3 linked regions of the Ovis aries genome follow. The protein of the gene in region 3 interacts with the protein of the main gene of each other region in a biochemical or structural test. Links are inferred from orthologs where the notes say so. Each region holds a gene or a part of one and is shown on either strand. Other genes may lie near its edges. The genes, in order: PRKCZ, CDK9 and MBP.

Region 1 (10,329 bases), on a different chromosome or scaffold from region 3:
GAGCAGAGGTGTCACTGTCCCTGAGGCGGCACTTGACCCCGTTGTGGGCACACTGGGGTCTCCCCAGGTGACTGCATAGCCCTCCTGATGATGTTACCACACCCACCAGGCCCAGGCAGCCCTGAGTCTGGCCCAGGGTCCCTCACTTCCATTTTTGGGGGGGGGTGGGGAGGTGCAAGTCTCCACGTTCTAGAGGTGCTGCTCTGCCATTGGGGCCTGGCTGGGGTGCCCAGGGAGTCTGGGGGTACCCAGGGAGGCTGGTGTGTCTGTGCAGGGTCAGGCCAAGCCAGCAGCCTCTTTATTTTCAACTGTTATCTGCCCCAAGCCACTGCCACACTGGGAGAAGTGAGGCCCAAGAGTGCATGGCAATGTGGGACCCACACCCACAAAGGACATCCAGGGACCACTGTCCTGAGGGTGCACAAGGCCTTCCTCCCCACTCTGCCTGGCCTGAGCCACACTTGACAGTATCAGGGACTTAAAAAACCCACATGATTTACCTCTTTATAAAAAACCTTGGGTTCAGCTTTTTACCTAAGAAGGAGGGTGGCCCGGGCTCATGGGAAGGAGGAGGTGAGCCCCACCGGGAGGTGCACCCTTCTGAATGTTCTAAATTTTATTCCTTTACTTTAAGGCTAGGGCCCATCATACACATACCCTTTTAAAATGTCTAATTCTGAGCATTATTATTCCTGATAAAAATACTCTCCAAAAATCTGATACATAACACAAGACATAATGTAGGCACTGCTTAGTGTTTCCAGAAATATATTTTGTGCAGATTTCTTTTTCAACTTTGTGGGTTTTTTTTTTTTTTTTTTTGGTTTGCGGGTACTTTGGTGAGCCTTGTTTTAGAACCTCTATGACCCAATTTTCCTGGTCAGTCTAAGGCCCGGGTTGGGACCGATAGAGCCCATCTGGTGAAGGTGTGACCTGGGCATCAGACCACAGGAACTGCTGACATGCTCGGTATGAAAATACTTGTTAAATATTAACAACAGGAACTTACCAGGATTTAGAAAATGTTCCGAATTTGTATAAACTCTCCACTGCACAGGCACTTACACTCCGGCCGTGCCTCCTCCGCGTGGGCCGCGCCTGCGACTCTGGGCGGGTGCCCCCCGCGGAAAAAAGGCATCAGAGGGAAGCGCCAGCATCAGAGGGACACTTTATTCCTCGGGACATTACAGGCCAACTCCCGGTGGAGCAGGTCAGTTCTGCTTCTGTGGAAAGTGTGCACCTTCGAAGTTGGGGGCAGTTTCTCCCTCAGACACGGTCACCACGGCCCCCGCGGCGCAGGCGCGAGAAGTAAGTTCCTCTGGGCCTGAGGCCCATGGGCCACACCTGGAGGCCGTTCTGCCCTGGGCACCCGCCCACGCCCGGCCCCGCATGCATGCGCAGGGGTCAGGGCCAGGGCCGTCCACGCGTCCACGATGAGAGCGCGGCGCCTCACACGGACTCCTCAGTGGACAGCAGCAGTGGGTTGATGTACTCGAACCCTTCAAACTCCGACTGGTCGATCCTCTTGATTACGTCCCTGTGGCCCGGGACAGAGCAGGCTCGGTGGGCGTGTTCAAGACCCGGCCCTGTCTCGCACCGCAGCTAAGGACGCCCCACCCCTGCATGGGATTCCTCCTCCCAGCAGTTCAGGACGCCCTGCCTCCACCTGGGACTCTTCCTCCCCGCCCCTGCAGCTTGACTGACCCTGCAGCTCAACCCCACCCCACCGTAGTGCAGGCCTTACTCATCGTCAGGAGTCAGCTGCACCGGCTCGCTGGTGAACTGCGTATCAAAGTTGTCCAGGCCATAGTCGTCCGTGATCTGCGGCTGGAAGGGCGGGAGGGCCTGCTTCTTCCCCAGCTGCAGGAAGATACAGTCAGAGCCACTTGCGCCGACTCAGCGCTTTGCAAACTCAAACCACAGAATCAAACAGAAGAAATGGTGCTTAAGTATATACGCCTCGTTTGATGGCCAATTGTTGCTCTCTAAAGTGTAGGAGAAATTTCCGCCGAAGTCAGAAAAACTCTACTTGAGCTGAAAAGTGCTGGCAGCACAGGCCATGAGAGACATACCCCACGCCATCGAGGGCCTGCAACCCTGCTCCTTAAACCAATGGAGGCTGGCTTAGGGAGCTTTAATCTTGGAACCCCAGTGGTAAGAGAGCTGGGGCTTGGTAGGGATACCTGTGTTCCACTGGGACCCCTCCTCCCGAGACGCCTTAAGTGGCCATTTCTAGTATTCCTAGACTAGTATTCCTGATTAGTATTCCTAATCCCAAAGGGATGCACTTGTCATCTTGGGGGTTGAGACATGGTGGTGTCTGGAGAGGGTGGAGTCACATGGAGGAGGTGGAGCAACTCAAGAGTGGCTCCAATCACTGAGGGGGGGGCATGGGCCCCCAGGTTCACACACTCTTTACCTCCTCTCCCCTCCCTCCACCAGGTGTCTGCTGCACACGGGTGCTGGGCCAGGCCTGCTCCTCAGACCTCAGAGAGAGCCACACTGAGGCATGGGGGTGCCTGCCTGGAGGGACCGTCCCCGTCACAAGGGAATCTGGAGCCAGAGGATAGCCAGCCCTCTAGTTGAACCACTGTGCTCTCACAGCCGGGACAGCTTGATTCAGGGGGTGGATGACCTCGGCCTTTCAGGACTGGCTGCTGCCTTCCCTTGGAGGGTCCTGAGTGAGCCAGCCTGGAAACTCCCACCTGGGTGAGGCCTCCATGTGACCGGGTTGGAGACATGGTCCAAGGTCCCGTGTAGGGAGACAGCTCCAGCCAAGTCAGAAATAAGCCTCCAGTCCACCTCAGCTCATACCCTGTCTTTGCACTGTGGGGTCAGGGCCCTTAGGAACACCACTTATGGCAACAAAAGCAAACTGGGCCCGGAAAGTTGAAACAGGTCCCATAACTTTGGGGGATTTGGGAAGCTGAACACACAGGTTCTGCTAACGAAGTTGGTGCAAGAAGTGAGAGTGTCACAGAGATGAATCCCCCAGTCACGCCCGGTAGTGTCAAGGCTGCAGCCAGCACACCCAGGCCACCTGGAGAGGCACGCTTATCTCTGTCACCCAGGGGATGCAGGAGGGGGGTGCGGAACAGAGGGGATGGGCTGATCCCACTGGCAGAAGGGGGCTACCAGTGTGTGTATGTGCATGTGTGCAGGTGCCCACATGCCCATGTGCACGCTGCGATCCCAGGGCCCCGGGAGCTGGTGGGCATGGCCACACCCTGGACACTCTTCTGGGGACATAAGGCCTTCCCTTCTCCCTCAGCCTTCTGTCAGGCAAGTTTCCATATTCTTGTTAGCATGAAATATATTCAGATAAAAAGGGGAAAAAGAAACATTTCTCTTGTACTATTTTCCCTACTTTAGGTCTCAGGCTGCTTTAAAAAGATTTAAATAGCAAGTCAGAACAGACCATGAGGAAAATGCAGCCAGGTGCTGGCCCGGGGTCTTCCAAGGCCACCCCCCATCCCTAACCTAAGAGCCTCATGGCTGCTCAGCACCTGCCCCTACCCCCACCCACTCCCCGGGAATGTCACACACAGTGTCACCTCCTCTGCTCTCAGTGACAAGCAGTGAACTGGAACGGTGCTGCCCTAGAGCGACGTCCCAGAGTCCCGCCACTTAGCCCTGAGGTGTGACGGGAAAGAGGAGGCCCAAAGGGGCTGGGAGTGAGCGTGCTGAGGTAGTCTGAAGGAGGTGGTGGGTGGAGGTTGGGAGGGGCAGAGCTGTGTCATTGCCCTGAGGCAGGAGTGGGCCTGGCAGCGAGGGACTCCTAAAGGCCCAGTGGAGGAGGCGGCTGCTGGCAGGGCCCACGCAGGAAACGGGGGACTGTCCAGGATGTGGGCAGCTCAGACCCAGGTAGCAGCATTGGGGTGGGAGAAGGCCCAGACCCAGAAGGTTGAGTCCCCAGGACTGGGTGGGTCAAGGGCCACTGTGGGGGGAAGGACCACAGCACACCTGGGTGTCTAGTTGGGACTAGCTAGATGGTTAAGTGAAGTATCTGTGAGCTGACTCAGGGCGTGGACATGGAGCTCAATCAATGGGTGTATGGCTGTGCTCATCCACACAAACACATCCCCACAGGACACCCAGCACAGCATGAATTGGACGCCCCAGCAAGGCTGCTCTCAGGACCTTCAGGAAGCACTGCCCCCAGGGCCTCATCACAGCCCGCCTCCTTGTTTTCAATCAGTGTTTCCCAATGCATCCCCATTTCCACCCATCCTGCCCCCTGGAGGTCCCTCCCCAACCCGCGGAGGTGGGTATCCGGTTCCAATCACTTTACCAGGTCCCAGTCTATACTGCGGAAGAAGGCATGAGACTTGATATCGGAAAATCCAGTCTGCGGCCGGCAGCCAAGCCTCTCCTTGGGGTCCTGGTGTGTCAGAGTTCAAATGAGGACAAGTCAGCACAGAGCAGGGCAGCCCTACTCAGTAGCGGGTCTTAAACAGCACCAACAAACCACCCATGGCCGGCCCCCCACCCAGGTGAAACTGCTTCCTCCCAGCGGGTTAAGCTCCTTCAGGAAATGCCTCTTCGGCATAATTTCTCCTCATTAGCTTTTGTCAAGGTGAATAAGCAGCCACAGGACTAAGGAAGGAAGCAGAGTCACACCCACGTCCAGCACTAAACTAGCAGACCAGGTGGTAAAGCCTCAACCTCAGTAGCTGAGGAAGGGCTGCGGCCATGGCCACTGGGGTGCCACGGGGGCCACAAGCGTACCTTGTTTAAAAATCCTTTCAACACGTGGGAGGCCTTGACGGACAGGAACCGGGGGATCCGGATGGGCTTCTCCAGGATGACTGCAGGACCGGAGGAGAGAGTTGTTCCTTCTCCTGGCCCTCCTCCAGCTCCCCCTCTTCGACCCTAGCCTGTCAGCTCTTCCCAGCAGCCTGCAGGGCACTGGAAACCTTTTCTGGGCAGGAGGGTCATGGCAGTCACGGTGGCCTGGGCCTCTTCCTGCACCCCAGCAAGGTCTCCAGGCCTCAGAGGCCCTGGTGCCCACGATCAGGCATGCTATGATCAGGGATGAACCAATGGCAGCTCAGCTGGTCCTGTGTCCCCATGTCCACAGGCGCAAGACAACACTGTGGGACACCTTCCCCACATCCACAGGCACAAGAGGGCACCATGGGACAGCCTCCCCACGTCCACAGGCACAGGAGGTCACTGTGGGACAGCCTCCCCACGTCCACAGGCGCAGGAGGGCACCGTGGGACAGCCTCCCCACGTCCACAGGCGCAGGAGGGCACCGTGGGACAGCCTCCCCACGTCCACAGGCGCAGGAGGGCACCGTGGGACAGCCTCCCCACGTCCACAGGCGCAGGAGGGCACCGTGGGACAGCCTCCCCACGTCCACAGGCGCAGGAGGGCACCGTGGGACAGCCTCCCCACGTCCACAGGCGCAGGAGGGCACCGTGGGACAGCCTCCCCACGTCCACAGGCGCAGGAGGGCACCGTGGGACAGCCTCCCCATGTCCACAGGCGCAAGAGAGCACTGTGGGGACAGCCTGGGCCAGCATCCTGGGGGCAGTCAGTTCTGTTCCAGGGGCCCAGATGGCAAGAAGCTGAGGCTGAGCACAGCCCCCGTCGGGACTCAGGTGCATACTGGAGGTGGGGAGAAGGGGGCCTGGGCCAAATCAGGACAGATTCTTTCCTGTGGATGTGAAAGAGCAGTATCCCCCTGCCCACTATACTTTGCTCCCTGAGAGCCAGTAGTGGACAAGTGGCCCCACCTAGTCTGTGGCAGCCACGGCAACCAATCAGGAGACTCTTTCACCCCCACTTCTAAAAGGGGAAAACCCGCAGGGCATGGAGGGAACGGGACATATGGCCCACGCACCTTGGAAAAGGTAGTCTTCAGTGTTCATGTCAGGGTTGTCAGTGATGATGTCAAAGGGGGAGCGGCCTGCCATCATCTCGAACATCAGCACGCCCAGCGCCCACCAGTCCACGCTGAACCCTGAGGGATAGCCAGGCTGGTCAGGCCAGAACTCTCCATTTGTGCTATCCAGTCACAGGGCAACAGCTGTGACCTGGACCTGGACCACAGCTGAGGCTGGGTGTCCCCAGCATCTCCCAGGTGGCCTGGCCTCCACTCTGTCCATTGTCCTGGCAGTTGCAAAGCTGTCTTCATGTCAAGGAAGCCCAGGGACAGCCAGCCACCCCCGATGTCCAAAGGTGTGCAGCTCTGTCACACACAGGACCCCCATCCTGGGAAGGCTATAGACTCTGCTTTGGACTACGGCTGCTGTCCATCCTCGTTTGGTTACTAAGTGACTTCAATCGTACTGGCCTCCCGGGTGCCCAGGGATCGGAGGGGGAGAGAACCTGCTCGCCCTGCTACCCCCCAATTTCAATGGCAAAGAAAATATGTGGAAATATTTGAAAGAGTATTTGTGATGGGAAAACAGCAGAACCCCAAAACGCAGAGGGTGTGCATCTCATTTTCATTTCACATCCAGAAAGTGTGTGGACGCACTCCAGTGTCACAGGGGCTGTGGGTGGTTCTGGTGGGTTTGGGGAACCCACACTTATGGGCGGCACCAGTGGCGTGGGACCTCTGCTTGGGGCCTGTCTTTGCATTGTGTTCTCCTTCCCAAGCCTTTCAGGCTCCTTGACCAGAGGGATCCTGTCCAGTGACCTCCCCAGGGCACACTCAGGTGAACACATGGGACAATAGCTGGGACTGAGGCCAGGTGATGACCTGGGGCTGGACAAAGTAAGGGTGTGTGTTTTAGTGCAATTTAGTCAGGAAACCCTCTTCTTGGCAGCTGGGTCAGCTCCCCAGAGACCCTGGTGAGGACCCTGGCAGGGTTAGCCCCACTAGGACTGCCTCCTTCCCTCTCTGCTCCATCAGAGTCTCCGGCAGAGGCAGCTCCCAGGGCTCAGGGTGTCCTCGTCCACTCCCGCCTCAGATCCAAGTCCCTGGGCAAAGGAGGGGCCCAGGGCTCGGGGTGTCTGGGTGTCATGGCCCACTCCAGACTCAGAGCCGAGTGCCTGTCCCACCCATGCTTACCATACTCTTCTCCCCGCAGGATTTCGGGGGCAATGTAGTTCGGGGTTCCACAGAAAGTGCTTGTTGTATCACCAGGGCCCAGGCCTTCCTGTGAGGACAAAGCCAATTACCAGGAGGGAGGGCATGCCCAGATACGCCCCCACTAGTGGGAGGACTGTGGTCACGTGGAGGTGCCAGAGACCAGGCATGGGTGAGACGGAGTGGGTGCCAGGCTGGCCACGACCCTGGGAGGCGGGCGGGCGGGAGCAGTGGGCGGGATGCTCACCTTGCACATGCCGTAGTCCGTCAGCTTGATGTGGCCGTCGGCGTCAAGGAGGACATTGTCCAGCTTCAGGTCCCGGTAGATAATCCCTCTCTCGTGTAGGAAGTTGAGTGCGATACAAATCTCAGCAGCATAGAACCTGGGGAAGGGGCAACACCTGTCATCAGCAGAGAGAACCCAACCAGGAACCTGGATAGGAGGACACAAGACGTTGGAATTCTCCACTGATGAACTCATGGGCCAATAAGACTGGGCAAGACAGGTGGGCCCACAGGACCGGGAAAGACAGGCAGCATCCCCATGGTCAGGGAGACACAACCCAAACCTACCATGAGATACCACCTCACACCTACCAAGACAGCCACTATACAACGGGCCCCCCATCCCCTCGAACAGAAAATGACAAGTGCTGTCAAGGATGTGGAGAAACTGCAACCCTCATGCACTGCTGGTTGGGATGAAAATGGTGCAGCTGCTGTGGAAAATAGCTTGGAAGGTCCTCAAAACATTAAAAATAGAATTATCATGTGACCCAGCAATTCCACGTCTGTGAATAACTCGAAATAATTGAAAACAGGGGCTCAAATGGGTATTTGTACCCCCTTGTTCACAGCAGCTAAATCATGGAAGCAACCCAAGTGTTCATCGAAAGATAAGGATAAAATGCGGTCCATTCCTGTGATAGAATAGGATCCAGCCTTGAAAAGGGAGGAGGTGCCGACACTGACACCTGCTCCAACGTGGATGGACCTTAGGCCATGACACAGAGTGAAACAAACCAGATGCAGGAGGATGCATCCTATGGGCTTCCACTTCTCTGAGGTCCCTGGAGGCGTCAGAGTCACAGAGACAAAGTAGGGGTGTGTGGATTGTGGGAGGGGATGTGGAACGAGTGTTTTACGGGGACAGAGTTTCGGTACAGGAAGAGGAAAAAGTCCTGGTGATGAAAGTACTGGAGACCAAGGTCCTGGAGATGGTGGTCGGCATGGCTGCATAGCACCGTGAATGTGCTCGATGCCGCTGACCGTGCACTTAAAAATGGTTGAGGTGGAAATTTTATGTTATGCAAATTTTTCACAATTAAAAAAGGAGAACATGAGCGTGTGGGGTTCTTGATTTATTACTTGCCTCTCCCCAAAAAGGACCTATGGTGACTCACAGTGCCACATGGAATTATTTTTAAGTGAGGAAATGAGGAAAAGGGAAAAAAGTATGGGAAAACAGGAAAGAGATGTGTATGGGGTGGAAATAAACGCCCCACCCACCTGTGAGGTCGAGGCTGTGGGGGGTGGGTGTAGTGGGGCGGGGGCAACGTGGTCACTGTCCCTGAGAATCATTTAGTAACAGAGATCATTCTGCGGAGGCCAGATGGCATCACTGTGTACACTGTGCGCCGAGGGTCAGGACCAAGGCCGGGTCACTCCCAGGACCCTCCAGGCTGTGGCCTGCCCTCCCCTGCCCCAGCTGCACCCACCTGGCGTGCTCCTCTGGCAGCTTCCTCTGCCTCTGCATGTGGAACATGAGGTCGCCCCCGTTGACATACTCGATGACCAGGAACAACCTGCAGGACACACAGGCTGGGGTCACCCTTGTCCTGAGAGGCCCAGGCAGGCAGCAACCAGGCCATCCAACTCTGGGGTCAGTGGCAGGAGCCCCTCAGCTCTGATCCTGATGAAATAAAACTTGAGAGAGAAACTCTCGTCCACCACTCAAATCATTCAACAGTTATTTACTCTCCCAATGATGCCTTTAGAGGGCTTCCCTGGTGACTCATGGTAAAGAATCCACCTGCAATGCGGGAGACCTGGGTTCGATCCCTGGGTTGGGAAGATCCCCTGGAGAAGGGAACTGTTACCCACTCTAGTATTCTGACCTGCAGAATTCCATGGACAGAAGAGCCTTGGCAAGCTACAGTCCATGGGGCTGCAAAGAGTCAGACACGACTGAGTGACTTTCACTTTTCACTTTCAATGATGCCTGGCCTGCCTTTGGGGTAAAAATGTAAAAATAAGGCAGGGCCCGTTGGCCGGGGGCTCACTGGGGCTGGGAGGGTGCTATGTGGCTGGTTGCTGTGGGAGGCCTCCCCAGGGAGCAGAGGCCTGGATGGTGCATACGGAGAGGTGGAGGAAGGCAGAGCTGAGGGACCACCCTGCAAGTACAGGGGCCCAACTCAGCTGGAGAAGCCAGAAGGCCGGGTGCACCAGCTGGGGGATGCCAGTGACCCTCTGGCCACTGTCTGGGTGGACCTGGGGCAGGGAGATGGGCAGGCTGAAGGAGAGGAGGTGCTCAGCCTCCTGGTGTGGCTGGCCTGGAGGGCCTGAGGCAGAGCCCACAAAATGGCCAGTGGTGTAGGCAGTCGGGAGGGGAAAGGCTCGGTGGAACCACGGGAGGGTCCCGTGCACCCCTCCTGTGGGACCCACCCCAAGCTGCCTGCAGGTCCAGAGGAAGAGGGCAGAACATGCTGACTTGGCCACTGGGAATCTGCAAAGCTACCGGCCTCCCAGAGGAGGGTGGGGTTGCTGGCTGGAGGGGCCTGTGATTGACAGGCCTCTAGAAGGGTGGGGGTGCTGGTGGGAGAGGCCTGTGATTGACAGGCCCATCCTCTGGAGGCAGGCAGGGTTCTTCAGGTCCCCAAACAATTTACCTTGTGGTTTCTTTCCTTGATAGGATCCTCCTCACATTTAATAAGGTTCTATTTTCAAAACTAAATTCACACATGATTTCCCTGAAATGCCCTGCTGAGGCCAGCTTATGGATTTTTAGGTCAACAGTTCCTCTGGGTATGGAGGGGGGTGGCTTTCAGAGAGTTGAGAACACAGAGGGAGCCCCTCTGAGCACTGGCAGCCCGTCTGCATCACTGGTGCGATGATGGTGATGCCCCACACGTGGAGCATGTGAACAAGCTACAGACCGCCCACCAAGCCTCTGATCACATATTTACACGAGAAACAGTTCCTAAACGCATACAGCAGACATGGAGACTGAGGGCTGAGTACTGGGGGAGCAGCCAGAGCTTTCCATGTGGTCCTGCAGGGCAGTACAG
Region 2 (10,510 bases), on a different chromosome or scaffold from region 3:
TTAGCCACTGGACCACCAGAGAAGTCCCTCACTTGTGTCTTTATATGCATGTTCTGAACAGACCTCATGCATTGTCAGAGGCACTGGCCTCAAGCTTCCACATTGGCCGCAGGCCTGCTCCAACTGTAGGACTCAGTAGATATCTTTTCACGGCTTGCCTCAGTTGTCTTCTATGGGGGGGCCAAAGAGACCTGGCTTTGAATCCCAGCTCCATAGCTCCTGGCTGCATGGCCTTGGGCAGGCCACTTTTACCACTCTGAAACTGTTTCCTCTTCTGTAACTTGAGTCCCCTAACAGCAGCTTTCTAAGACAGGTGCTGTAAAGTTCCAGAGGTCTGACATACATCATGGGGCCAGGCATGCAGTCAGTACCTACCTGGTGTGGGCAGAAGGTCCATGGAATTGCTGCGGACATCACCCAGCCATTCTCTATTCTATGTCCCCCTATCCGGTGACCCCTTGTCTCCCCAGGTAGATCAGCAACAAGAGTGCACCCCCCCAGGAGCCCTTCTTCTTCCCTCCAAATGCCCTGCACCCTGCTCCTGGTCGGGGAAGAGAGCAAAGGTCCAGGTCAAACAGCTGGCCAGGGGCTCCCTTTCCTACTCTGTGCCTCAGTTTCCATAACTGCTAAATGGCAGCAGGACCAGAGGCTCTCTCAGAGCCTGGTCAGTCAGTCAGCAAATATTTCCGGAGTACTGGCCACAGGCCTGGTCTTGCCAGCCTAACCGATCCATGGAAACAGGAAACGTTTCCCTCCAGCCAGTGAAGAAGTCAGAGTTGGTGAGAAGTTGTTTCTGGCTAGGATCTAATTTCTTCTCACTTTCACTGGGCAGCCTTCTGAAGGGCTCTGACTGTTCCTGCCTGCCATCATCCCGCAGGGAGGGCTGAGGGCCCGACGCCCTGAGGGGAAGTGACTGGCAATGTCAGGGTTCAGGCCAGGGATCGGGGAGGGTGGAGGTGATGACACCACCGGAACTTCTGCTGAGGCCTCTGCCCACAGGATGTAACTTAGAGAGGGCTTGTGAGAAACAAGCAGGGGCCCCAGCCTGAGAATCTGATGGTGGAAGCCACCCAAACCCACACAGACCTCCCCCCTCCCACCCAATGCGATTATCTCCTCCCACACCTCCCACTGGCATCCGCCACCCAGCTGGCGATGCTGTGCCATGACTGTGCCCTTGCTCCACCCTCAGCCCAGGTGGGCAGAGTCCTGACATGGGTAACCGCTTGGGGTTGGCACCAGACTTTGGCTGCTGTTGGCTTTACATATCAGTGTGGCAACTGGCCAGGTATTTGACCCTGGCCAATGATGTCACCGTCCATGGGATTCTCCAGGCAAGAATACTGAAGAATACTGGGTTTGCCATTTCCTTCTCCAGGAGATAAGCTGGTTAGATAGTATCACGGACTCAGTGGACATGAATTTGAGCAAACTCCAGGAGATACTGGAGGACAGAGGAGCCTGGTGGGCTTCAGTCCATGGGGTCACAAAGAGTCAGACATGACTTAGCAACTGAACAACAACAATAAGTGACGTCACCTCTGAGTTCCAGTGTTCTTCTAAGTACAACAGAGGTAATAATAGTATAATATTGCTGAGTGAGAATTGAGATAATTCCCATAAAGTGCTAAGTGTACAGCTTGGACCATTTATTTTCACTCCATAAACTATAATTACTACAGTTATTATTATTTTCTCACTCTCTGCTCTCCCCACCCCCAATTTAGCCAATGGTCACCCTGCTTCTAATATTGTACCCAAGAAACTGACCCCAGATCACTCCCTGACCTGCCCCAAACCCTCGCTGGTCCACACTGCCTTCAGGAGAGGGCTCTCTGCTCCTCACCTGATCCTGAAGACCTTCCCGGGCAGTCCCCCTGCTTCCCAGCAGAACAGGGTCTCTTGGGACACCAGGATTACCAGACCCATTCCTGACTCCTAATGTGAGCTAAGAGCTGGAGAGCAACCCAGGAACCTTCCTGGCAGAAGAGAAGGCAGTGGTGCAACCAGAGAGCATAGCCCTGAAGGCAAGGGGCCCTGGCGTGTAGGAAGCAGTGTGGCCACAGCCTAGGTTCGGTTCAGTTCAGTTCAGCTCAATCGTCAGTCAGGTCCAACTCTGCGACCCCATGAATCGCAGCACGCCAGGCCTCCCTGTCCATCACCATCTCCCGGAGTTCATTCAGACTCACGTCCATCGAGTCGGTGATGCCATCCAGCCATCTCATCCTCTGTCATCCCCTTCTCCTCCTGCCCCCAATCCCTCCCAGCATCAGTCTTTTCCAATGAGTCAACTCTTCCATGAGGTGGCCAAAGTACTGGAGTTTCAGCTTTAGCATCATTCCTTCCAAAGAAATCCCAGGGCTGATCTCCTTCGAGCCTCAAATGTCACAGTTTGGTTTTTCCTGATGACAGTGGAGAGAAAGACATACAGACATCACTTCAGAATGATCTGATGGGTGCTGGCAGGGGGACAGATGGAGGGGACAGACTGGGGAGGACAGGTCTTAAGATCCATTGGTGGAGGACTGGGGTGGGGGGTGCAAATTGAAGAGGGGTGGAGAGGAGGTCTGAAGGCAGCCTTGTTGAGGGCTGGGTGTCAAAGGCTGGAAGGAGATACAGGAGGCTCCTGGAGCCAGAATGTATCAGAAAGCTGCTGGGGAAGAAGCGCCAGGGTAGGAGAAGCAGGCATAGGATCAAAGGAGATGGTGGACGGTGGTGGGCTTGGTACCCTGGCATAACAACAGCAGGCCTCAAACAGCACCACTTGCTATACTGCTGGACAGACTGTAAATAGCCGGAGTCAAGAGAATCCTCTTCGGATTCAGACAGACAAGGTTCAAGTCCCAGCTTTATTACTGTGAGACCTTGAGCAAATGACCTCACCTCTCCGAGCCTCAATGTGCTCTTCTGTAAAATTGGTTAGTGATCCTGACTATGGGCGGTGGATTCAGGATTCAGTAGGAATGCCCAGCACTTCCAGAGCACACAAGAGGGGCCGACGAAATGCCGGCTACCTTTGTGACTACTAACCCGGGGCGCGACCAGTTAGGGAGCAGCTCGGCAGGAACCAAAGTCCTGTGGGTCTCATCTCTTGTCTCCCAGAGAACTGGGTGGGGATCCAGGAGTGGAAGGCCCAGGCGTTGCTGGCTCACCACCTTCAATGTCGCCGCGCCCCCTGGCGGCTATCGGTTGCCATATCAACGGCGGGTCGGCGGGGGCCCGGGGAGGCGGCGGTCGGGGCCCGTTCTCCCTTCCCCGGACCCGAGGCCGCTCTCTCGGCACCTCTAGTCCTCGCCTGCGTAGAGTGGGGTGTGAGAGCGGGTGGGGAAATCCCGAGCCGGGGAGGAAGGGACTCCCCGCTGCGGCTGGCATGTGCGGGTAAACTGAGGCACGCGGTAAGTCGCGCCCCGAAGCCAGGTGTTGAGCGCGGGGCCCCACCTCCGAAGGCGGAGGAGGGGCCGCGGGCGGTGACGCGCCGAGGGCGGCGGGCGGGCGGGAGGCAGGCGGCGGCGGCGGCAGGTGCGGCCGCTGAGGGTGGAAGGGAGGAGGGAGGGGGCGGGCGGAGGGGGAGGGGAGGGCGAGGCCTGGGCACCTCCCCCTTTATAACGCGCCCCCTCCCGGGCTCTCGGGCCGCCTCCTCATCGGCTGTTTCCGTCTGGCCCCCTCGCCCGGCCGCCCCGGGCCCGGGCCCGGCCAGGGAGCCCCCAGGCCGCGGCTCGGGGGGCCGCCCCCCCACCCCCCCTGCGCCCGGCGCCCAGCGCAGCCCGGCGGAGGCGGCGCCGTCGGAGGAGGAGGAGGAGCAGGGCACTGCGGCTGGCCCCGGATCGGGCGCCAGAGCGGCAGCGGCTTCGGCAGCGGCGGCGGCGGCGGCCCGAGCCGATGCAGCGGGACGCACCACCTCGAGCCCCAGCCCCGGCGCCCCGGCTCCCCGCGCCCCCGATCGGGGCCACCGCCGGCGCCGGCGGCGGCGGAGGCGGGGGCAGCGGCGGTGGCGGAGGCGCCTCTGCAGCTTCGGCTCCTCCTGGCCTCCCGGGAACTACAAGTCCCAGGGGGCCTGGCGGCGGGCGGCGGGCGGAAGAGGCGGGGTCGGCGCCTCGAGGCCGGAAGTGGCCGTGGAGGCGGAAGTGGCGCGGCCGCGGAGGGGCCTGGAGCACGGCGGCGGGACCCGGAGCGGGAGCGGCGGCGGCAGCAGCGGCGGCGGCGGTGGTGGCTGGAGGCGGCGGCGGCGGCGCACTGGAGTCAGCCATGGCAAAGCAGTACGACTCGGTGGAGTGCCCTTTTTGTGATGAGGTGACCAAATATGAGAAGCTCGCTAAAATCGGCCAAGGCACCTTCGGGTAAGGCTGGGCCCCCCCTCAACCCCCAGGGACCGGGAGCCTCCTGAACCTGCACCCCTCCGGGCCGACGTCGGGACGCCCAGACCCGGGCCCGGTTGGTCGGGAAGCCACTTAGACGCAAACTTATCCCCTGGTCTCGCTAGGCCGCACCGCAACCCCGCCGGGGCCTGAAGGAGTCGGCCGGCTGGGAGGAGCCTGAGGCCCTTAATGGGGGGGCAGGGAGGGGTTGCAGAGAGGAGCCTGTGAGTGGTGCGGGATCTCTCTGCGAGACGCCCGAGTGAGGCGCAAGGAGCAGAGGGAAGAAGGCTGAGACTCGAGAAGGGACCAGAGTCACCGCGTGGTGGGGTAGCCGAGTGCCGTGAGGGACCCGGCCCAGCCCCGCCCGGGATTCCCTTTCCGGGCCTCCTCTGGTGGGGGAGGGGCGGGCTCTGCGGAAACGTCCTCTAAGAGCCCTCTTGGGTCTCCCCTCTCCGCCTGCAGGGAGGTGTTTAAGGCAAAGCACCGCAAGACCGGCCAAAAGGTGGCCCTGAAGAAGGTACTGATGGAGAACGAGAAAGAGGGGGTGAGTATGGGGTGGGGTGGGCAGGTCTCCCAGCTCCTTTGGGCGTGAGGTTGCGTTTCCACCTTTCTGGTTTGGGGACTCTCAACGTAATAGATTCAGATTAGGTGTTTGGAAATTTCCATATTCCAGGAAGTTTGACTTCCCAGTTCAGTCTTTGAATTCAGATGTCTTAGAGCTTTTGATACTTCATTCTTGGGTGAATATGGTTGGTGCCAGGCGGGGGAGCCCATGCTTGTACCCAGTGCCCCTAGGTTTTTGAAGTTAGGAAGTCGTTAAAGACTTTTTCTTTAGGGTTTAATTTTGTTGAACGCAAAAAAGATATATATATGATAATGATAATTACATGCAATGGCTTTGAAAAGGTGATTGGTATTCAGCTGAAAAGCAACAGTCTCTCCTGCCACACACGTGTGTTAGTTCTGGTTCAGCTTTCCAGAGACCAGCTTCTTTAATTATATATTTGTTAACTGCCAAGCAGGTTAAATGCAGGCATAGGGCTAAAATTTATAAGGGTGAAGAAACTGCGGAGCGTCTGATGACTGGTAACAGAACCTTTGTGTGAAGTGTCACTGTTTCGGATCATTCATTGAATTATTTTGATTCATTCATTCAGTTCTTTATGAGGCGTACATAGTTACTCCCGTTTTACATATGTGACATCTGAGACAGCTAATTCCAGAGCCTGTGCATTTACTGTCTCCCAGCCTATGACCCTTCGCGTGGACCCCATGGTCAGTTCCTGGGTCTGTAGTGTGCTCACCCACTTTTGACTTCCTCCTGTCTTTTCTCCCACCCAGTTCCCCATTACAGCATTGCGGGAGATCAAGATCCTCCAGCTTCTAAAACACGAGAATGTGGTCAACTTGATTGAGATCTGTCGAACCAAAGGTAAGTTGTTTGGATCATGTTCCCATTTTCAGATGGAAAAACTGAGGCTTTGTTTGCGGAGTTGACACTGGACACATTTACACTGCCTCTTCTTAACCCAGACATTCCAACTGTGACTGCTTTCTCTGGTCTTTTCATCGGAGCAGGTGCTTCCCCAGGGCCTGCCACAGCACCCAGCCCAGAGAAGGCACTCAGAAAATGTTTTACCTGTGAAGGAATTTGTACCCGGATATTCGGGGTGGCCATGGGTTGGAGGGGTTGGGAGCTAGTTTGGAGGAAATGAGTTACATGTAAGGTTTCTGATTTTTTTTTTAATGCCTCCCCCTCTCTCCTCCTCATTCTTCCTGCCTCAGCTTCCCCCTATAACCGCTGCAAAGGCAGTATATACCTGGTGTTTGACTTCTGCGAGCATGATCTTGCTGGGCTACTGAGCAACGTCTTAGTCAAGTTCACACTATCTGAGATCAAGAGGGTCATGCAGATGTTGCTTAACGGCCTCTACTACATCCACAGGAACAAGGTGGGGGCCCTAGTTGGGGAGGAGAGAGCAGGGCTTGGGCTGGCCTTTGCGCTCACAGCGGGGTGGGCATGGCTAAGGGATCCCTGGGAACCCTCCGCCTTGTGCTTCCTGCAGATCCTGCACCGGGACATGAAGGCGGCTAACGTGCTCATCACCCGCGATGGGGTTCTGAAGCTGGCGGACTTTGGGTTGGCCCGGGCCTTCAGCCTGGCCAAGAACAGCCAGCCCAACCGCTACACCAACCGTGTGGTGACCCTCTGGTACCGGCCCCCAGAGCTGTTGCTCGGTGAGGACTCTCCCGAGCTGGCAGAGGGGAGCAGGGGCTGGGCACTCAGCTCAGTCTCAGCACCCCAACTGCCAGGGCTTCTTGAGCCATCGGCCCCAGGGGCGTGGCCTTTCAGGAGGCCATGGGGCTCAGGGGGCCCTCCCTGGTGTGCTCTTGTTCCCAGGGGAGCGGGACTACGGCCCCCCCATTGATCTGTGGGGTGCTGGGTGCATCATGGCGGAGATGTGGACCCGCAGCCCCATCATGCAGGGCAACACGGAGCAGCACCAGCTCGCCCTCATCAGCCAGCTCTGCGGCTCCATCACCCCCGAGGTGCGTCGCAGCCTGCCTCCTGGGGGCCCCCCAAAGGCCACACACCTTCGAGAGGGGTGGGGGAGGCTCCCTGGCAGGGGAGGAGGGGCACACGGAACAGAGGCAAAACCCTGACCTGGACAGGCGGCTGGTGGAGGCTTACAGTCTGCTGTTAGCCATGGCGACGTCAGGTCTGGGCTGCGTCCCTGGTTCCTGGGGTTTTCCGGCAAGGTGTCTTGAGCACCTCACCTCAGGGCTGATCTCTGCCGTGAGACATCTGTGGTTCTGTCACACTTGGCACACATCTCCCAGGCGATTCACACCAAAGGGCCTGGTATTCAGTGCCTGTGTCCCATCTGTGGTTACTGCTGCTTTGGCCGCAGAGGGCTCTGGGGTGGTCTGGAAGCATCTGAGCAAGTTGTACGTGTTTACTTAGTTATTTTTGGCTGCTCTGGATCTTCACTGCTGAGCCTGGGCTTTCCCTAGTTGCAGTGCGGGGGGCTTACCTTGCTCCAGAGCACTGGCGTTAGACCCGGGCTTCAGTCGTTGTGGCACACGGGCTTAGTTGCTTCATGGCATGTGGAATCTTGCCAGACCAAGGATTGAACCCGTGTCCCCTGCATTGGTAGGCAGTTCTTAACCATCGGATCACCAGGGATGTCCTGAACGGAGACGTATCCAGTCACTACATACTTGACCAGTGGATCAGTCACATACCCTGCTGAACTAGTCTTCCCCTCTTTCCATGCCTCCCCCCTACCCCAGGTGTGGCCAAATGTGGACAAGTACGAGCTGTTTGAGAAAGTGGAGCTGGTCAAGGGCCAGAAGCGGAAGGTGAAGGACAGGCTGAAGGCCTACGTGCGAGACCCCTACGCGCTGGACCTCATCGACAAGCTGCTGGTGCTGGACCCCGCCCAGCGCATCGACAGTGACGACGCCCTCAACCACGACTTCTTCTGGTCCGACCCCATGCCCTCGGACCTCAAGGGCATGCTCTCCACCCACCTGACATCCATGTTCGAGTACCTGGCACCTCCACGCCGGAAGGGCAGCCAGATCACCCAGCAGTCAACCAACCAGAGCCGGAATCCTGCCACCACCAACCAGACGGAGTTTGAGCGCGTCTTCTGAGGGCTGGCTGCTATTGCTTCTCGTTAGGGCCGTGGTTTTGGTTTTTTTTCTTCTGCTCTGTGACTTGCAGCGTGGAGATTATGGGGCATGTGAGTTTTTCCTCTAGCGCATATCTTATTTAATCCGCACCCTGGGCGTCGGGCACCAACCGAGCAGACTGGAGTAAAACTTTGGTGGAGAGTCCAGGAAGGCACCTGAGCTGCCCACCTTGTTCCCTGGCTTTGGCAGTGACGCTCAGAGGGCCTCCCTTTACCTTAGGGCAGGACTGGGGTGGGGGGAGAGGCATGCCCCCCCGGTGACTCTGAGAGACCCCAGCATGCTGGGAGGAGGGGACTGGTCCCTCACCCACCCTGGCCCTCCCTGTGGGATGAGAAACTTCTGTGGGGCACAGAACCAGCCTCAGGAATGGGAACGGGCTGCTCTCAGCCTAGCCCTCAGAATCTCTGGGGCCGACGGAAGCTATTGGTTTCTTCGATAGGACAGTTTTATCGTGTTGATTTTGTTTGATTGTTCAGAGACATTCCTGGGTACAGGCTGGTCAGTTACAATTAAAGTTGACTCTTTTTCAGTAAACGGCTGTGTGCTTTGTTCTGTGTTCAGACCGCCAGCTCTTAACCCTGTAGCTGACCACTGAGGCTTGATTTGTCAGGACATGGTACTTCCCTTTGTCCCAGTTCATGTCCCCTGACATACCTTCAGGGGACTTCTGTCTCTTGTTTATTTCTCTTTTGACTACCCAAGCGGCAGGTACCACGATGCTCCCTTATTCTCCTCTCCACTCAGTGTCAGAGAAAGCAGGGAGACAGATGAGAAACGGGACTCAGTCTGCTGAGGAGGAAACTGGGGGGACCTTCTGTGAGCCGCACCTGCAGTGGTGACCCAGCGGGGCAGAGTCTGCCTTGGCTGACAGATGTGTTCAGACTTGACTTCCAACCACAGAAGGCTGGAGAGGCTTCTAGCCAGTGGAATAACAACAGATCTGTAACCTGCAAGAGTCCTCAGGCTGCTGGCCAGAGAGTGGCAAGAGGAAATGAGCAGGCAAGCTGAAGGGTCTCCAGGGCCTTGCGGAGGTGGCGGTAGCTTGAGTTGGGGTGGCAGGCGGGCAGGAGGACAGGGAACAGTTAGCAGAAGCTTGGACCATGTGGGCTCTGAGCTGGGACACTCAGGAACAGCACACTCTGGGGAATACCTCTCCTGTGAGTCTGAAATCTGACATGGGCACATGTGAAGCACTTTCTACATTCTGTCCAGTGGAGGCCTCTTAAAGGGGACCTGGGAAAAAAAGGTTGGCAAAACCTTTTACTTGAACTGTCCTTTCCTAGTAGGTATTAACCTGGGTCACAGCTTCACAAAAGGCAAGTGAAAGGAAGAAAAAAATCATGACTAGCCTATTTGATTCTTGGGGCTGCCAAACACAGCAGCTTAGAATAACCAACTTTCTCTGTTCTGAGGAGAAAAGTCTGAAATCTGGAGTTGTCATCAGCAAGGTTGGTTCTTTCTGGAGGCTTAGGGAGAATCTATTCTAGCCCCAAGCCTAGGAAGCCTTCAGAGAGCGCTGTACAAAGAGGAACACAATCTGGTGATTTTTAAAAAAATCCCAAGTTTGTTTTTATTTTTTGATGGTACCACATGGTAGTCAGGATCTTAGGTCCCTGACCAGGGATAGAACTCGTGCCCCACTGCAGTGGGAACACAGAGCCTTAACCGCTGGACCACCAGGGAATTCCCACAATCTGATTTAAAAAGAAAACAGTGGAAAACATTATGGGGCTTCCCTGGTGGCTCAATGGTAATGAATCTGCCTGCCAGTGCAGGAGACAGGTTCAATCCCTAATCCACATGCCGCGGAGCAACTCAGCCTCTGCGCCACAACTATGGTGCCTGTGCTCTCGAACATGGGAGCCACGGCCGCTAAGCCCATGTGCCCTAGAGCCTGCGCTCCGCAACAAGAGAAACCATTGCGGCGAGGAGCCCTTGCTCTGCAGCTAGAAGTTACGGTGCAGCTAGAGAGGAGCCCCCACTCAGCACAGCTAGAGAAAAGCCCAGTAGCGACGGAGACCCAGCACAGCCAAAAATAAAATTATTAAAAAAACACCCAACAGTATGGAATTTCATCAGAAAACTGAAAATAGAATGACCGTATAAACCAGCAATCATTCCTGGGCATATATCCAGATGAAATTAAAATTCAAAAAGACATGCACTCCTGTGTTCAATAGCCAGGACATGGAGCAACCTAATGTCCATCAACAGATACTGAATAAAGAAGATGTGGCGCACATGCACAGCGAAACGCCAGCCATAAGGAGACCCAGCCAGGCCATCCCAAAGGGAATCGGTCCTGAATGTTCACTGGAAGGACTGACGCTGAAGCTCCAGTGCTTTGGCCACCTGATGTTAAGAACTGACTCATTGGAAAAGACCCTGATGCTGGGGAAGATTGAAGGCAGAAGGAGAAGGGGACAACAGAGGATGAGATGGTTGGATGGCATCAC
Region 3 (10,410 bases):
GACCTGGCCTGCTGTCCCAGGGCTTGGTGCTGGGGCCCCTTGACCATCCTCTGCCCGGGTGGCGGGGCAGGGGAGCAGACAGGAACCCACAGACGGTTCTCGGTCTGGACCACGTGGTGCAGAGGCGGCTGGGCGGATCGACGGGGTATCTGAGAAAGCGTGATCACCGTGCTGTTCTGTTCTGGTGGGAAGAGGCTTTCTTCATCAGATAGACCCTCCTGGCACCTCTGGACTCAGTGGGACGGTCCGCAGGTGAGCACGCAGAGATGGAGGTGTGTGTGGCTGGGGGTCTAGCACACCCCCCACTCACAGCTCCACCTGGAAACGAACTTTCCTGCAGCTTTGTGGTGATGCAGACCTCTTGGGCTTCCCAGTGGCTACAGGAAAAACCTGCCTGCCAATGCAGGAGGCCTAAGAGACACAGGTTCAATCCCTGGGTCAGGAAGATCCCCTGAAAAAGGAAATGACAACCCACTCCAGCATTCTTTCCTGGAGAATCCCGTGGACAGAGGAGCCTGGTGGGTCCATAGGGTCGCAAAGAGTCGGGCACGACTGAAGTGACTTAGCACACACACTCACGTTCTGCAGACCAGAATAAGTCACAGAAAACAAGCCATGCAGATATCATTAAAAGTGTATTACTTTATTTCAATACTCAAGAACAATGCATACTTTCCTTGAGACCTGTGGTCACAGCTCTCATTGTTGGGTGTGGCCACGAATGGAGGTCACTCAGTCACAACCAGCTCAGAGACGCAGTGTGTGTGTCAAGCAATTTGGAGATTTTGTTTCTGAAAAATTTTTTTTTCTTATCCTCTCATCATTGAGGCTACGTATTAATAGACATTATAGTAAACCCACGCGAAATATTCAGAATTAGAAGGGGATTAAAGAGCCACGTTTGGGCGTTACATTGACTATTCCTCATTTTCATCCTAAGGGGGGTTGTGACGCCAGTGTGGGGACTTCGTGGGGGTCTGGTGGGAGAGAGGCTGAAATCAAAAGGTGGGAATCAGTAGGTTATGGGGGAAGCACGGGAGATATCAGCTGGGGTTAGAAAAGAGTGGGATAGAGGACCCCTCCCCATCCTCACTGGGGCCTGCACCCAGCCCGGCAGCGATTCGGGAAAAGCCAGTGTGCTGGTCAGCGGGTTTCTGGGAGGAAGCGGGTGGGCTGGTTATCTCTCCCCAAGGGTTAGTGTTCGCTGTGCGCACCGCCGTGCCGAGCATGCCACCTGTCACCTTCGCGCCCGCGGTGGCCGCGGCCACCGCGAGGCTCCCGGAACGTCCTGCCACCGCTCTGAGCTGCGCCGCCTCCGCCCTCCGGCCGGGCTCCGTAGGAAGCAGGTTGTGGGGGCGCCGCTGCGGGACCCCCGAGGCCCGGCCGAGTTCGCCCCCCCCGTCCCTTCTCCGCACGCGCCAATCCGGCTCCTCCGGGGTGTGAGCCGTGGCCACCACACGGGACACTCCCAGCTGCCCGCCCGCCTGCCACGTACCAAAGCTCCCGCCGCGAAGCCGCTCCACTGTGATCAGTTAGGAAAGGAAGTGCTTTAAGAGGTGAGAGGAGGCGGGAAAGAAACCAAAGGAAGCTCAGAGCCAAGGTCGGTCTCCACATCCTGCGTGGGGGCCCGGCGCCAGGGTCCCCAGGGCTGCTCCCACGGCCGTCCCAGGGCAGAGGGTGGGCGTGGAGGGTCGCCCACCCTGGACCCTCGGGGACCTCGCTGATCTCCAAGGGTGAGCTGACAGCTGCACCGTCTTCTCCATTGAGCCACTGGCCAGGAGCCCGCAGGACGTGCGTATGGGCAGGGTTGGGGGGGCGCCGGCTGCACTAGGGAATTTAGACAATGGTTAGTGTCGAGGCGGTTGTATTAAGAAGCTGGGGACGGGGTTCGGGAGGGGAGCTGGGCTTCAGCGTCTTGCCATCGGGGACCCGGAACGGCTGTCTCGTCCTCCCTGAGAAAAAGAAACAGAGAGTTAGTTGGGAGAGCCAGGGCCCTGTGGTCACCAGGGGCAGGGCCTCGCCCCTCGGGGCTTGTCTCTAGGGATGAAGCTGCGTGGGGCTGGCCTCTAACCCCGTGTCTCACAGCATCCTCTATCCCATTGCACATGCAAGTACCACTGGGCAAACAGGACAGGGCGCGTGGGCGCTGCGTCTGAGAACCATGCGCTTCTGGGGGTGAAAACTCCACTGACACATTGAATGTCTCAGAGGAGGGCTTGTTTTCTCCTAACATTCCCCCCTCAAGAGACGGGAGGCCCAATGCCCCTCACCATCCCAGCTCAGCAGGAAGTAGCCAGAAAGACCCCGACGCCCCTATTCCCAAAGAATTTGGCCTCCCATCTAAAAGGAGTCCAGATGGCGGTGGCTGAAAGACAAGGAAGGGAAAAGCCCGTAAAAATGGAACAAAGGAAGGTCTGAGGACTGGAGTGAGGACCTCAGGCGAAACAAACAGCACTCCTGGCTGGCCCAGTTTACACAGGGCAGGCCCGGGCGGAGGGAAAGACATAGAAAAAGAGGAGCCACAGGGCCAGCGGTCTCTCTCCAGCGTGCGCGCGCTCTCTCTCTCTCCTCTTCGCGAGGATGTATTTTCCTTTACTTTCTAAATAAAACTGAGCTGTAATACGGCACTGTAACACTCTCTGAGAGCTATGATGCGCTGAAGGCTTTAATGTCCGTTGCTGCAAATCTTTGTTGTGAGGAGACAGAACCGAGGAAATTACACACTCCCCTGACATTTAAACTAGAGATTCCCAGGGACTGCAGGAAGTGGTCCATGAACGATGCCTGGGATGGGCTCATCTGCGTGAGGCTGGGATGCTGAGAGCACAGCCCTACTCGGTTCACCGGGGAGCGACCTCCACCCCACCTTCGAGCCCTCTCCTGCATCACCAAGGAAACCAGCCTCCCAGATGAGCCATCCACAGACTCTGACCTCAGGGTCTTAAAAAAACAAGAGTTGCCATGTTTTCTGGACAAATACGGTTTGCAGAAGAGCTGGCAATGGTGGAAGTGGAGAGAGCGAGTGGGAATGACGGAGACAAGGGAGCTTGTCCGGGCATTGGCTCGAGAAGGCAACTGTCACCCTAGGTGCCACTTAGGTGAACTTGGAGGAAGGTGCTTTTTTTTTTTTTGCATTTGAATTCTTATTCAAATTTTAGTCTCTTTTTGGATTTCCCTTTTCTCGTAGGTTATGAATGAAAACTTGATCTCTCAAAGATCCCCTTGAGACTGTGAGCCCCCGGAAAGAAAGATGAACATGAAATACGCTATTGATCTGATGACAGACGGGCCTCGTCCACGTCTTGTGTCCCCCACGTGACCCCGAGATTAGGCAATGGAAACACAAGGCCCCAGGTCTTATAGCTAACTCGGTCAAAAGAAAGATGATGGCTCTGATTTCTTGCAATTTTGCTTTCCCCCAAAACATTCCTCCATTGCTGATTCACTGGACGCATTTTATTTTCACGTGTGGGGAAGTCTGTGGAATTCTAGCCTCGGGAGATGTCAGGCATCATTCAGAGATAACTCCCCTTGCAGGAAAGGGGCTTTGTTCCCCAGCCTCGGGGCCAAGCCCTTCAGCAGGGACCTGGGTCTTGTCCCAGGTGAGTCTGGCTGGGCTTTGGGTGCTTGGTCCTCAGAGCTGCTCCTGGAGTAGCCCTGAGCAAGGCAGCACTGGCCCCCCCTTGTCCTGAATTTCAGAGAGATTAACCTTAGGGCCTCCTGGAAAGTGCGAGTCAGTCGTCCACAAGAGCAGACCGCTGCCCCATCTGATCAAGCACATGCACGCTGAGACGGGCTTAGTCCCCCTCCTACTCTATTTGCCAAACACCTTACCTGAGACACCACTGAACACCCTAAGGGCAACTTTTGAATAAGAGATGGCATATTTATGGCTTTTCTTTTCGATTACTGTGCCTACAATTTATTATCTACTGTGATCTAAACCTCTGACATCTGTTTCATCTTGTGAACAAGCAAGCCAGCCTAGGTGGGTGGATGTTCTTAGCATCCCTGTTTGCTAGTTGAAGGAGCTGAAGCTCCTCAGAGAGGTTGAGTCACTTCCCCAAAGTCAGCCAGCAGAGGTGAGCTGGTGTTAGAAACTCTGATGAGGATGGACATCGTCCCAACTGCAGACATCTGGGTTTTGCCCTTGGTCGCTCTGGTCCAGAAGTCTTGGGGAATCAGAAATGGTCTGGACACTGCAGGTGACCTGATGGAAACACCGCAGCTCTGGGTTTAGACCCAGAGCCCCGCCAGGACATGCGTCATCGCCGTCTCATTTCAGAATCAAGACACGTATATCGTAAGGCTCTCTGTTTCTTGGACATTTGGGATAGTATTTATCTCCTTATCAGATTTGCCTCAGGATCAATATTTTGAAGACTGAGTCCTGCCCACATTGAGTCTGACACCAGCCAACTTAGCAGTGGGTCACTCACCGCTCACTTCATGTATTTAAATGTCTTGCTGAAGAGACTGAGTCTCCTCAAAGCTGAGTCCTGCTTCTCGTCACCTTCAGAGTCCAGCACCTTTCAGGGCCTAGGTCGCTGTGTCTGTCGCGGCCGTCTGTGTACCCCGACCGCTGGACGTGCCACACACACACGGGACTTGATGCAGAATTAGTTAGGTGACCAACCTACGAGTCTTTGTGTTCCCGACCAAACCATTTCACCGTAAGTTGTAAAATCGCGACGTTTCAACGAGCTCAGCAGGAAGCACTCTTCTGCAGGTCAGAGGTGAGTGGGGTTGAGGAGCCATCACGCTTTGCTGGTGGGGCCTGAGCCCGTGGACGGGGCGCGTGGGGCTGTTGGTCTCCTGGTGGCATAGCCTCGCCACAGACCACAGGACCTTCTCAGGTGAAATCACGCTGTGACCTGCAGTAAGCCAGCGGGTGAGCCTCGGGAGGCACTCCTGGTCTCATCCAAGACCACGGACACCTGGGACAGGAGTCCATGGAAACACAGGTCTCCCCCGGGGGGCCACTGGCCCGGGGCACGGGTGGAAGAAGCTGCCGCGTGGGGTGAGAGCACGGCAGCGACGCCGGCACCGCGATGCCCGAGGGTGCAGGGCGGTCCTGCGGCCCTGAGGGCACTGTGAGTGCCACGTCCTCACGCGGCCGCTCCTCCTTTAGCACACGGACTGTGTCTTTCCTTGCTGGTGTCTGTCTTCCTCATGACACGTCTTCCAGCTGGAAGGGGAGTTGACCGGACCCTTGTAAGAGTCAGGACTGCAGTTGTAGCTGGACATCAGCAGGGAAGTCATGGCCTCATTTGGGTCAAGAGTCAGTGAAACTAGTGGCTGGGCTGATGCTCTAATGAGAAAACCAGTGGGATTGGGATTTGGTGACGTTTGTTCCTTCCTGCCAGGCCGCCGTGCAAATGTGGTTCCATTATCAGGGATGAAAGGCCCCCCAGGAGCCTCGAATCTTTGTGGAAATGGCCTCAACTGCTCGAGAGGCTTGCTGTGGCTCCACAGGCTCATCTCAGCTCCCGAGCCCCTCCAGCTCTAAGCCTGCTGCTCCTTTCCACCTTCTCGAGGACTGTCTGGGCATTTGGGCCCTGCCCACTGGGGCAGCCGTGTCTACTCTGTCTGAGGAGACTAGAGCCTGGACCAGCCCTTGGGCGTCCTGGCTCCAGGGCCTCTGTCTCCAGGGTGTTCCATCTCCTCCCAGGTGAGCTTGGCCGCTGGACCTGGGACACCATCCCTCTCACCTCAGGACAGCTCTGCCTGCTTGTAGCTGTGGGAGGAAGGAGTCTGAGGGGCCTGGGGTGAGGGGTTACTGCCTGGGGTCTGCCCCTCCCGAGTCCAGAGCCTTCCCTTCCGTCCTCCGTCTGCTCAGGCCTGGGGACTCTGTGCCTTGTCCCCATCAGCCCCTCCTGAGATCTCAGGTTTCTGAGCAGGGCTGACGTGTCACTGTGATCCGGCTGTTTTGAGGGGGTCTGGGCAGGGAGCTGGGCAGACAGCACGGTAGCCCTCCTGTCAGAGCAGCTCCCCACACATCCCCCCGACTCACAGAGGAGAGACGAAGCCTCAGGGAGGCCGGGGGACCTGACGTGTAGCTCCAGTGTGAATCAGCAGGACAGATGCCTGAGGCTCCCAGGGTCTGTTGCCATCCAGCCATCTTCCCTCCCGTCACCCTCAGGGCCCAAAGTGCTGCTGCCCCGGCCAGGGAGCCACCTGACCTTCCAGATGGGTTGGTGCCCTCCAGGCCCCTGAGCCTCTCGGGGTCCAGCACGACCCCTCTTGTCCTCAAGCTCCCGAGGAACCCTGGCCTAGCACCTGGTAGAGCACCTGCTCAGGTGAGCTCTGCAGAAACGGCCACCTGGCAGGGCTGGGATGCGCAGGAGCAACTCCTGAGAAGCGGCAGGTGGAGGGGCTGGAGACTGGCATCCCCAGGCCGTCCCAGACTCATCCCCGGACCCCTCCCAGCGCCTCCCATGTGGAGAAGGTACATTACCAGCTTGAAGATTCTGGAAAGCGTGCCCTGGGCGTCATGCCCCTTGAGTCCCTTGTGAGCCGATTTGTAGTCAGATGCTCTGCCTCCATAGCCGAATCCTGGCTTCTGGCCCTCAGCCCCCTGCAAGAGAGGGTGAGGCTCGCGGTCTGTGCCCACGGCCCGTGGCCCTGCCCCGGTCCACATCCATCCGGCCTCAGCGGCCGCTCGGCGACACACTGGGCACCCGGTGCCTCCGGCGGGGGGTGGGACCGTCCCTGCGGCAGCGTCTGCCCTTCTCCTGGCCGAGCGGGTCCCAGGGTGGATCAGCCAGAGTCACATACACTCTCCAGAGTCTTCATCTGCACGCACTGGGGGGAGGGGCGCTGGGACTGTGCTGGAGAAGGGTGGGCGAGGCCACGCCCCTGACAGGACCCCAAGAGACAACGCCCGGCCCCAGGGTTGTTCTGGCCCTTGGCACAGACCCTTCATGCCAGCTCCCCCGGGGCTCAGCAGCCTTCACACTTGGGGAATTGGGGGCTCATCCATTTTTAAAGGGCAAAGACACAATGCCCAGCTCTCCAGCTAGGAGAGGCCTCTTGCAGGCCAGAACCAGCTCCCCTGGCTGCGCCGTGGGTGCCCTGAGTGTGGATGGACCAGGATTCTTCCAGGGGCTCAGGGCTGCGGGCTGGTGACCACAGAGGGAGAGGGGTGGGATGGGAAGCCATGTTCCCCAGCTGTGCACCTGGGCACCGTCCCAGGGCTGGCAACCGGGGTGGGTCTCAGCAACCCCACTCCCTGGCTGTGTGACTTCGGGCAACTGTCGGAAGCTCTCTGAGCTTCAGTTTCCTCTTCTGTAACAGGGAGATGAGATGATGGACGACCTGCTCTGAGACTGGAGCCTGTGGCTCTGAACTCTCAAGCTTGCAGAGGGGGCTCCTCAGGCAGCCCGCACCTCCGCCTCCAGCTTCTCTGGGGGGGACCCCTCTCACTTCGGGGAAGATGGAGAAAGCTAGCCTCCTGCAGGTAGCAACGACACACAGTTACTGCAATGTAAAGGCGTGTGTCTCTGGGGCCAGTTTGCACTCGTATAAGCTCTAGTTTCAAAGGGACCCTGCACTGTGAGCGCGGGAAGGAAGGGGGACTCTGGGGCTCAGATGTTAGCGCCTTGGGGTGCACGTCCCTCACTCAGATCTCATGCAACAGACAGGCTCTGGGATCTCACTTTACATTTTGCCAACAAGAAGCGGGACTATCTCTGCCTGGGCCTCTCCTGAGAATTCTACAAATGAAGTAAAACCATCTCTGATCGAGCTCTAGAGCCCTTGGCCCTCAGCCTGTGGTTGTTTTCAGTTTCAGGAGGGTGTTGTGGGGCTGGAGGGAGCTTGGGAAGCAGCCCTTGGCCTCAGCCTGTGGTCCTTTTCAGTTTCAGGAGGCTGCTGTGGGGCTGGAGGGAGCTCGGGAAGCATAGAGTCCATCCCTCTGGTTCAGAAGTGCTGGAGGTGGGCTCCAGGAGCTTCAAGGATCTTGCAGGCCAGCTCTCTCGTGTTTGGACTGAAGCTGGGCCAGGGCCACCTGTCTAGGCCCCCACCCTCCCCCCGCCCCGCCCCAGCGCTACTTCTGTGGGTTCCTTTGCTTTCAGCCAGAAACAGATGCTGGGAAAATGCTGGCCACTCAGAATGAGGCAACCACTTTCACGTGAAAATCTGGTCTCAAGGGGTGTCGAGTGTGCGAATCTTGGGCACTACACACGAGGGGCGCCCACTGCTGCCCTCGCACCCACAGTTTCCAGGGACACACCCCCTTGGTCAGGGTCTCAGGGCCAAGGACAGTTAAAGAGAGCTGTGCCGAAGGATAGACCAGCATGGGAAAAAGCCGCACTGTCCCACGCGAGCCTGTCATGCTCTAACTCTGTTGATTTTCTCCAGAATAAAGTGCTTCTGAGAATAAAATTCAAGGATTGGTTTTCAGATTGATAATCTGCTTAATTTTCTCCTTTCAAATTTTTGGTCACTTGTATCTTTGGACAACCTAGAATTTGCCAGAAAAACATACAACATAGTTAGAAAACTCGTGAAATTTTCAGGATCTCCAAACGAAGACAGTCATGCGGTTCTCGGAAACCAACAGACCGACTCACGGAACACAGAGCAGAATTTTGCTTTGGAAAAAAGAGAAAATTAACGGGTTAGTGGGAACAAAAATGGAGACATGGAGAGGCATGCAAAGCCATTCTATTAGCTGCCGGGTTGGAGGGGCCTTAACCGACAGGGAAGAAAGAAGGTCTCCTCCCCCATCACTCCCGGTCATCAGCGGCTCTGCCCTGGTCCACCACGCCTAGAAAGCTACGAGGCAGGTCGAGTAGTTACTGAAGGAAGATTTCTGGGTCAGAAATGGATTTCATTCCTCAGTGTCACCTTTTTCTCCTGCTGGCACAAGAAGTCTCTCATTAATTGTCTGTGGCTGCTGGCCCGAGTCAGTTCTCTACGTCATCGGCACTCTTTGCAAATTCATCAGATCGGAAATAGGCTCACGTGTATCTGTATGAATGTCCCAGCAACCTCTCAGTTCACACTGCAGTCATCATGTGTTGGAACGGTTCCCGGAAGCTTCCTCTGCCTTTTCTCTGAGGGCGGACGCCTCCCTCCCTCCTTCCTTCTTTTTAAAAATGTATTTACTTTCTGTTGACGGGTAATTGCTTTACCGAATTGTGCGGTACTTCTCCAGTACTGCAGTCCCTCCTCCCCCCTTCCCCTCCCTCCTCCCCCCTTCCCCTTCCTTCCTTCCTTCCTTCTTCTTCCCTCTTCCCTTTCTTCTTTCTTTCTCTCTAAATTCATGCATTCATTTCTGTGTTGCCTACTAACCGTGCATCACTGAGATGCAGGCTCTGTGGGAGAGACATCTTGTGTCTCCAAGGACACTGGAGAATGTGTTTCTGTCTCCAAGACAGACACAGTTCCCAGCCTAGAGGTTAGTGGGCCTCTTTTTATTCTGGAAATCTGATCAAGTAAAAACTGTATCTAATATTTACTGGTAAATACTGCTGTTTGGTTCCTTAGTTGTGTCCAACTCTCTGAGACCCCTTGGATGGGAGCCCACCAGGCTCCTCTGTCCATGGGGTTCTCCAAGCAAGAATACTGGAGGGGGTTGCCACGCCCTCCCCCAGGGGATCTTCCTGAGACCCAGGGATCCAACCTGAGTGGTAAAGAACCTGCACTGGGAGGCAGGTTCTTTACCACTGAGCCACCAGGGAAGCCTTTACTAGAAGGTAATTTGGTTAAAATACAGATCAGCATTAGAAGTTGGTGTAGACACCAAATTTTACTAGAAGCTGAACAAGTGAGCCCTTTAAAATTTTCATGGACATTTTGTTCTCAGAAATTCCTAAAAAGGTTTTTCTGGATGGCTTGGTATCTAAGCTTTAGTTATGACTAAATCACAACCCAAACCAAAATCTTTTGGATCACTTAGGTTGTTATAAACTGAGCAACTGAACTCAGCAGCCTTTTGTCTTGTCAGCAGAATCATTGTTTCTCAACAGAATGTCAACACCCGGCAGGGTGGGGTTAGCTACTTGGACAGGTGCGCAGGCAGCCTGCAGGGACTGGACTTTCTCATCCACCGTTTTGGAAGGAAGTCAGGAACTTTCTCAAAGACGGGGGTCCTCCTTTCCTGGGGAGAGTCCAGCAGAGTCTCCTAGGAGCCCCTCGGTGCGTGGGCCCCGGGGCGAGGGAACAGGAGCGCTGGCGGAGCTAGAAGGAAGGGCCTGCTGTGGGGGGAAGCAGCTGGGGCAAAAGCGGGAGGATGGAAGGAACGTGGACGCGGGAGCCTCCGAGAGGGAGGGGACGGGGGAGGGGAGGGGAGGACGGGGGAGGGGAGGGGAGGGCGGGGCGCTCGGCACCTACCCAGCTAAATCTGCTGAGGGACAGTCCTCGCCCCTGCGTGAGGAAGAGAAAGAGAAAGTGACACAGGGGTCA

What was found.
Region 1: of the proteins of MBP (region 3) and PRKCZ, one has a biochemical effect on the other in vitro, tested with the Homo sapiens proteins (2 studies listed by BioGRID). The link is inferred for Ovis aries from reciprocal best matches to the Homo sapiens genes MBP and PRKCZ.
Region 2: of the proteins of MBP (region 3) and CDK9, one has a biochemical effect on the other in vitro, tested with the Homo sapiens proteins (2 studies listed by BioGRID). The link is inferred for Ovis aries from reciprocal best matches to the Homo sapiens genes MBP and CDK9.

Annotation. Positions count from the first base shown.
Region 1 is NC_056065.1:49,909,317-49,919,645, forward strand, and holds the end of PRKCZ (protein kinase C zeta type), read right to left. Parts: intron 8,848-10,329; coding exon 8,761-8,847; intron 7,426-8,760; coding exon 7,290-7,425; intron 7,113-7,289; coding exon 7,025-7,112; intron 5,969-7,024; coding exon 5,849-5,968; intron 4,809-5,848; coding exon 4,729-4,808; intron 4,382-4,728; coding exon 4,292-4,381; intron 1,861-4,291; coding exon 1,745-1,860; intron 1,538-1,744; coding exon 1,450-1,537; 3' UTR 1,157-1,449; downstream 1-1,156. UniProt on the Homo sapiens protein: Calcium- and diacylglycerol-independent serine/threonine-protein kinase that functions in phosphatidylinositol 3-kinase (PI3K) pathway and mitogen-activated protein (MAP) kinase cascade, and is involved in NF-kappa-B activation, mitogenic signaling, cell proliferation, cell polarity, inflammatory response and maintenance of long-term potentiation (LTP).
Region 2 is NC_056056.1:8,427,198-8,437,707, reverse strand, and holds CDK9 (cyclin-dependent kinase 9), read left to right. Parts: upstream 1-4,102; 5' UTR 4,103-4,245; coding exon 4,246-4,337; intron 4,338-4,817; coding exon 4,818-4,899; intron 4,900-5,696; coding exon 5,697-5,787; intron 5,788-6,140; coding exon 6,141-6,307; intron 6,308-6,421; coding exon 6,422-6,593; intron 6,594-6,756; coding exon 6,757-6,905; intron 6,906-7,649; coding exon 7,650-8,015; 3' UTR 8,016-8,588; downstream 8,589-10,510. UniProt on the Homo sapiens protein: Protein kinase involved in the regulation of transcription.
Region 3 is NC_056076.1:2,514,170-2,524,579, reverse strand, and holds the end of MBP (myelin basic protein), read right to left. Parts: intron 10,372-10,410; coding exon 10,339-10,371; intron 6,578-10,338; coding exon 6,458-6,577; intron 1,953-6,457; coding exon 1,908-1,952; 3' UTR 623-1,907; downstream 1-622. UniProt on the Homo sapiens protein: The classic group of MBP isoforms (isoform 4-isoform 14) are with PLP the most abundant protein components of the myelin membrane in the CNS. They have a role in both its formation and stabilization.